Linked DNA regions of Arabidopsis thaliana. The protein of the gene in region 2 interacts with the protein of the main gene of each other region in a pairwise test. Each region holds a gene or a part of one and is shown on either strand. Other genes may lie near its edges. The genes, in order: CSP3 and AT3G49910.

What was found.
Region 1: the proteins of AT3G49910 (region 2) and CSP3 interact in a two-hybrid assay, tested with the Arabidopsis thaliana proteins (one study listed by BioGRID).

Annotation. Positions count from the first base shown.
Region 1 is NC_003071.7:7,762,963-7,767,070, forward strand, and holds CSP3 (cold shock domain protein 3), read right to left. Parts: upstream 2,315-4,108; 5' UTR 2,220-2,314; coding exon 1,314-2,219; 3' UTR 566-1,313; downstream 1-565. Other genes in the region: AT2G17860 (Pathogenesis-related thaumatin superfamily protein), read right to left, coding at 1-56.
Region 2 is NC_003074.8:18,501,996-18,505,967, forward strand, and holds AT3G49910 (Translation protein SH3-like family protein), read left to right. Parts: upstream 1-2,168; 5' UTR 2,169-2,315; coding exon 2,316-2,756; 3' UTR 2,757-3,395; downstream 3,396-3,972. Other genes in the region: AT3G49900 (Phototropic-responsive NPH3 family protein), read right to left, coding at 1-41, 255-324, 444-619; VDAC5 (voltage dependent anion channel 5), read right to left, coding at 3,841-3,972.

The DNA.
Region 1 (4,108 bases), on a different chromosome or scaffold from region 2:
CCATTGATGAAAAACATAATCGCTAAGAGAAAGCAAGAGACTTTAGCCAAATCCATTGTTACCGTTTGATGTTGTATGATTCAGGAGAAGTTAGGGATCGTGTTTATATAAGAGAATCGGGGATTTGTGTTATGGAAAGTTTCATAATATCAATTTTCCCTATATGAGTTTTGCCATTACAGAATCCGATACATGTTCACTCATCATTTCCTTTATTTCAATATTCTCATTAATACTTGTGAAATGGAAATTACGAATCAAGCTAGTATACTTGTTATCCTTTTCGAAAATTATACATTTTTTTTTTATAACTATTTGTTGAGGATCTCTTCCTAAATTCAAAACTAGAAATTTAGATAAAGGTTAGAGGAGGAAAAAGCTCTCTTTTGTTTGTTAAGGAAAAAGTTATTTAGTTTAAAGACTTTGATAGGAAAGAGACATGTATGGTGTTGTGTAGTAAGTTAATTGTACTGGAATTGGTGGGATTTTGTATTAACGGAAATAAAGGAGGTGTTGGACATTAGAAGCTTGTCTTTGTATATGTTAAGAAAGATCAAGTCACTTCCAATAACAGAACACGTGGGATCCAAATGTTTATATCCGAAAGATTCAGCTAATCACAAGTGTAATTAGGTTAAAAAAAACTAACGGGATTAACTTCATCATCTTCTTAAAACATCACGGTAAGTAGAGAAAAAGAAACCACGAACTGACGAACAGGCATAGGCACTACAAGATCACGCACACCATGTCTCTCCTCTGTTCAGGAGATTCTCCTAAAACAAGATCTAAGTAATCTAAAATATCAAAAGATTATTCTTAAGCTAATATCTCTGTTTCATCAAGAACAAGAAAAACAGCAATGCAGAGTATAAGTAAACCAGTTACAGGAAAATCTTTAAGCTCTCCAACAAAGAGGAACCAAGAAAGACTTGTGACTCATCTCTTTGTATTTACAAGTTAGTAAAAAAAAGTCTCAAATCTTGGTATATAACAGAAGTGACCATAACAGATTGAATTTTCAAGTCATACAATCACACTCATTGCAAGGAAAGACAAGAAACTGTAAATAAGCAAGCACACATATCATTCAAGATCTCAAACTTATGGCATCAACAAAAGCAGTGAACAGGTTGCATAAACCAGTCAAAAGAGTAATATAGAGAGATCAAAAACTCCCAAAACAACCATTCTTAAACATCCTAAACGACTTTAGCAATCACATTATAGTCACCAAAAAGGAGCATTAGGTAGATTTTAATAGAAAACAAAAGAGGTTTATGAACATTACTCTTCTTCTTTGCATCTTTTTGTTAAGCAACCGAAGTACATTCCCTCGCAAAGTGACCTTCCTTGCCGCAGATGAAGCACTTGTTACTGCCACCGCCACCTCCGCTGCTTCCACTTCCTCTCCGATCACAGTCACGAGCCAAATGGCCAGTTCCTCCACATTCGTAACAAGCACGACCACCACCACCACCACCAGAAGGTATCTTGCTGGTGCAAACTTTCGCAATGTGGCCAACTCCGCCACAGGTATAACAAGTGCTTCCACCACCTCCAACGTTTCCACCGCCGTTTTGCCTACAATCCCTAGCGAAATGTCCCACACCACCACACATGTAGCATCCATCACCGCCAGATCCACGACCACCACCTCCTCCGTATCTGTTTCCACCAGAACCACCACGACAATCCTTTGCCAAATGACCAACCTCACCGCAACTGTAACACGGACGACCACCTCCTCCTCCTCCGCCGCTGTTTCCACCACCGCTTTGCCTACAATCCCTAGCGAAGTGTCCCACATCACCACACATGTAACATTCACCTTCGCCGCCAGATCTACGACCACCACCACCTCCAAAGCTTTTCCCACCACTTCCACCGTCACAATCCTTAGCCATATGACCAACCTCACCGCAATTAAAACAATTACCTCCGGATCCACGGGAGCTGTTTTCCTTCTTATTAAGTGAACCGCCGCCGGGAGCAGTAACTTCAATGGCCTTAGTCTTTCCGTCGCTTCCAAGCGCGATTTCGTATTCAACCGATTCACCAAGAGTCAAGCTACGGAATCCATCGGAGACAATTGAGGATTGATGAACAAAAAGCTCTTCGCCGCCATCATCGGGAGTAATGAAACCGTAGCCTTTTCCATCGCTAAACCAACTAACTTTTCCGATAGATCTCGCCGCCGATTGATCTTCCATCGCCATTAGATCAGAGAAAAAGGTTAACAAAAACTCGAAGCACTTTGTTCGTACAAAGAGAGGAAATGGGTAAAATGAAAACCCTAAATTGCTACTTGCTAGATCTATTAACCCCAAATTGACCTTAAATTCGCCACGTCAGCTCCTTCTCTATCGGCGGCAGTTACCACGTGTGCATTTTGGATCAGGCCCATGGTTCACATAATGAAATGGGCCTATTTATGTAAGAGTTTCAAAAGAACTAAGCAAAATTGATAAGGTTTGATTTCACACTAACTTTAAAAAAAATGCTTGAGATGTTTTATCATCTCTTAACCATCCCCAAACTCTGGGAATTGGATGAAAATGCAGTCTATAATTATCACTTTTTGCAAAAAGAAAGGGATATTCATAGTAAATCTAAAGTAAATATGACATGATTTAGATTATTATGTTATACTTCTACTAGAAGAGAAAGTGTTTCACACTTTTGGTTGTTTTATCTAAACAATATATTATATTTTGATATTATATCTATTTTTATGCAACTTATTTTGCATCCAAATTTTCAATATCCCAGCTCACTTTTTTAATTCAATGAACCAATACATGGATGATATTATCCGAAGTTCAATTGTGAAGAAAAAAATGATTCGATCATATTTTCTTCTAGAAGCAAGAAAAAAAGAACATCCCAATTACTTAAACTAATTATTGGATATCTATCGTCTATTATATATATATATATATTATATATTTTGATAATGTATGGTGTCGAACATCAACAATCTTCTGCTTCCCATTGTTTATGGACAGCATAGCTTTTGTCATGACAATGCTATACTTAAGAAAATGACAAGAGTTCCTTTTTTTATTTATTTTTCTTTTAATGACAATAGTGAATTTATAATTACTTTTTTTTTGTTCACATTTAAAATAGTTATATATATGTGAAAAGAATATGAGTTTTTTTTTGTAAATATTATGAAAGATTCGTGAGATGCAAATGTTCCAGAACATGGCATGTTGAAACAAGAGTGACACATGGATTATGATGACGAGAAGAAAAGAACCTTGTCTGTCGTATTTGCTTAGCTATTTTGGTGGCCCTGGTGAAGGCAATTTAAATTGACTATAATTATTATCATCATAAACGTCATGTTAGTATAACTCTGAAATTCTGAGCAAGAAATTTGACCCAATGTTAACTCTTTGAAATACCGTTATTTATATAACTTTTACCCAAAAAAATTAGAATCATAAAATTAACCCATGCATGCATACCTAGTTGATTGCACAACGTTCAAACTAAAAATGTTTATAACGCCCATAGAAAAAACTCTCAGTAACCCTCCACATACACATATCACATACATCGGAATTCACGATATGCGATTGTAACGTCTCTAAAAATTACTCTTTTCACAGTCGCGTGACAGGAAAAAATTCACTGCCACCAAGGCAAACAACGTTATCGAACTTTCGATAGACTAAGACCATGAATGGTAACATAGACCACACCCAAAACCGCACCGCAACAGTATTAAAATCTTTACATATATATGTATTTATGTATTTTTGTTACTATTTGACATAGATCTTCTTTTCTTTTATTGTCGATGTCGGCTGATTGTGCGACTAGAAAAAAAACACTCCCAGCTTTTTAAATTAGGTGACTACAACATAATACAACTAAAATTTTCTAAGAATGCTATATGATTTCAGTATGTAAATCTTACCTGTAACAAAAAAAATCTGTTTCTCCAAGGCTACATACTATTGATTGCTAAGTTGGAACACTTTAAGTTATACATAAATTTTTATTTTCTTTATTAGATGGTAAATACTAAATACAGACTACTTACTACTTATGGATACAAAGGCTAAAAACGCGACAGATCCTACGTGGCACGATA
Region 2 (3,972 bases):
GTTAGGTGGCGTTTTAAATAGCCACTCTTTGACAGAGGATCCTATGGGATTATAATTAAAACATCACATAATGACATAAAACATAACCTCCCAATAAAAATCAAACCTTTTTGCTTATTTTGCAATAAATGTGTAATTTTTTAAATTTATAACAAATATACAATTAAAAATCAAATAAAAATATCATAGTTTTTGTTAAAAAAAAATTGTTTTTTTTATGAAAATTGACAAATAAAAGCTTGAAAATATGTAACCTTGTGAAGATGGAACCTTGTGCCTCCCACATTTACGAATACATCAGGTTTAGAGTTATTAGCCAACGACCTGAATAAAAATATAGAAAAAACACCCAAAAAAAAGAGAAATTATAATTTGGTAAAGATTTTTCTACCAAAAAAAAAAATGTGGTAAAGATTTGGTAAATTTTCTAAGAGAAACATTACCATTTATGGACTCGAGATTCAAGCTCCATTGAAGGAGAAGAAGAGAGATTGATAGGTTGTTTAGGAGAAAGAGACAAAGATGAAGAAGAAGAAGATAAAGAAGAAGAGTGATGATCTACGTAGTCTTCGTCTTCATAAATCGTATCAACAAACCCTAAGTTTGTCCATCGCTTCATGTCTTTTTTTCCGAGAGAGAAGAGATCAAAGAATGAGAATAATTTGTGTGAGTTTTGAGAAGATTCGAATTCGCCGGTTAGGTTTTAGTATCAAGAAGAGAAGGAAATTTTGGACAGTGAATGGGCAATAAATGTGAGTAATATGGGAAATAAATGAATTTAAGAGGATTTGTTGTGATCGTTATTATATGCGTGAAAGTCTTTAAATGCGTTTTTCCTTTTTCTTCACCATAAACCTTCTAGTTCATATAGAGGGACCACGTCCCACATGTTCTCCAAAATGTACATTCGTTCTAACATTCAAATTTCACGAGATTTCATTTAGGTTTAAATTGAGCTTAAATTGTTGTGTATATATAGTACTAGTGCAAGTTTGATCGGTTATTTTTCTTTACTAATTGACATACTTGTCGTTGTCGTAAAAAACATGGATTGTTTATTTGTTTATATCAATTTGTTTGCACCAACCACCACAAGAAAATTAGTTTTGATCGGCCAGTTTAATACAAAGTCCACTTCATATGATACTTATTTCTTTCATAATTTGTTAGCCCCTCTGATTATTATTATGTACAACATCATTATTTTGCTTGAAAATATATATATCCAAGAGTCTTTGGAAGTCCTTGTTCAAACATTGGCAATGGGTTCTAAAATGTAAGAGTTTCGACCTGAGATTTTCTCCGGGATGTATATCACATTATAGTTATGAATGTCTAATATATTGTATAAAAACATACTGATATAATAATAATAATAATTTTCTAATTATTTTATTTATTTTCCTGATGTCTCAAATCCAAGGTATCATTTGAAAACTACAATTTGACCTGCAAAATGAAAAAGCTCAAAGAAATCATGAAACAAGACAAGAAACCGAAACATATCAAAAGATTAAGATCAATGACGCAAAAGATTCGCTATCGATGAAAGGAGCGAAACCATGAAGCAAGATAGGTTGTAGATGAACTAGGAAAGGTTGAAGATGGACTAATTTTGTACTGGAAAAGGTGACGGTATAGACCTGTAAGCTTGAATTTCCTTAACAAGTAACCGAGCCGGTTTGGAGACAGTAGTGTGAAGCCTTGCATTTCTTTCTCTCCACAAAGTGTAAACAGCTGCTTGAAAAATAATTTTTTTGTTAAATTAATATTAATTTTTTGAATATAATGTTAAATTAAATATATAAAAATAACGTTTTTACAACTAGTGCATCGTGTTTTTGAAAATCGAATCTAAAAAGGCAGAATATATGAATTGAAACACAACTCTATTTAAATTAATATATCATCCAAACGTTATGCTTTTGTTTCTCTCAAAAATAAAAGTTCTAAATTGCATGATACAAAACTTCTCTAAATTGCATGATACAGCTAGCCTATTACAACATGAGAATACCAACTATATCAGTGTAGTCGTTTTGTTTTTACCTCTTTCGCTAAACTGATTGCATCCAAGAATGAATTAACTTTTACTAGGCCAGAAGTGTAGCTAACATAGAAGAGGCCCATTATAAAACTCTTTAAAATCAAAATCTAAAACAGGCCCAGCCCATTCATAACAAAGCCCTAATATATCGAGTAAACCTAGCTCCACTCAAAACCTAACTATATAACCTTCACACACACTCATAACCTCTTCCTCATCCCCTTAAAAAACCCTAAGAGTAGAGACTCTCTCAATCCCGGCGGCGAAGATGAAGTACAACCCAAGAGTGACCTCTTCTCGCAGAAAGAACAGGAAGGCTCATTTCACAGCTTCCTCCAGCGAGAGGCGTGTGATAATGAGCTCTCCTCTCTCCACCGATCTTCGTCAGAAGTACAATGTCAGATCCATGCCGATCCGTAAAGACGACGAGGTTCAGATCGTTCGTGGTACTTACAAGGGACGTGAAGGCAAAGTTGTTCAGGTTTACCGTCGCAAATGGGTGATTCACATCGAGAGAATCACGAGGGAGAAGGTGAATGGAACAACCGTGAACGTTGGGATTCAGCCGTCGAAAGTTGTGATAACGAAGCTTCGTCTTGATAAAGATAGGAAATCGCTTTTGGAGAGGAAGGCTAAGGGACGTGCTGCTGCTGATAAGGAGAAGGGTACTAAGTTTACGTCTGAGGATGTTATGCAGAACGTTGATTAAGTAAGAAGGAAGAAGAAATCTTCTTGAAAGGTTTTATCTTTTAGAGTTATCTTCAATCGCTTTTTAATTTTCAAGTTTTGGATATTTTGGAATGTTGTCAGTGGATCTTTATGGTGCTAGACATGAGAACTTATGTTTTGATTTTGAGTATTTGAAGTTTGGTTATGGAAGTTTATCTCTTTGTCTCATTCTTTATAATGATGTGTTTGTTTGGTTTAGCTTTTGATTATGTGTTGGATGTGTGTTGAGATTGGTGTTGAACTCCTGATTTGACATAGGAGTCTTGCGTTTATCAGTCTATTGCAGTAGAATTGATGATATTGGTCATTTATGTGGTGACTTAGTTGAAATGATTCTCTAGAGTAGTGTTCTTGGTTTAGGTTATTTCGTTTGATAGTGGGGGTTCCATTTTTCGACAGTGGTTTTCATTTTTGAACATATTGGAATGACGAGTTTGTGTCTTTAAACGACATATCAATTTATCAGACCAATCCTTTCGTCTCTTCACACTTATCTCTGCAATTTTGTGTTGTCTAAGACGTTTGTGGTATAGGTTGAGTTCGAACTTGGTGGTTTTCAATTGTAATTTTTTGTTTGGCATAAGCATTACTGTGGATTTAAAAGAATTGCCACTCTGATTAACAGCAAATCATTTCATTTCTATGAAACTGATTCTTTCTCATTACCTTAAAAAATAGTCGTTTCCTCGAGAAAAAAGATAGAACTAAAAAAACATATCTCAAATGCAATTATCCGACTGAACAGTTTTCACATTTGATGTACATGTGTAGAAGACCTATCTCTGATTCTTTTCCAACTTGAGTCTTTGATTGATTCTAGTTTCACATAAGGTTTGTTTCTCTTAACAAAACAATAAAAAAAAACTCTCAGAAAAGAGCGATATAACTGTTCCTATTAAGCGTGAGCCCCAAAAGAAACAAATCCGAAAAAGAATTATCAGAAATAAGGAGATTAGCCGAGGGATTCATTATTCAATAACCAACTCAACTCTAAACAATGTCATAGGAGACAGAAAGGGTAGTCTCCATTGTTAAACCTAACTTCCATTGGTATGTGTAGCTCTTCAAGGTTTAAGGGAAAGCGAGAGACCTAACCTTGGGTACTTGTCTAATGTCTTGGTATCAATCTCACCTGAGATTGTCACTATCGATTTTGGAAGGCCCTCGTGTTGCAGAAGAGCTCCAAACTTACCGTT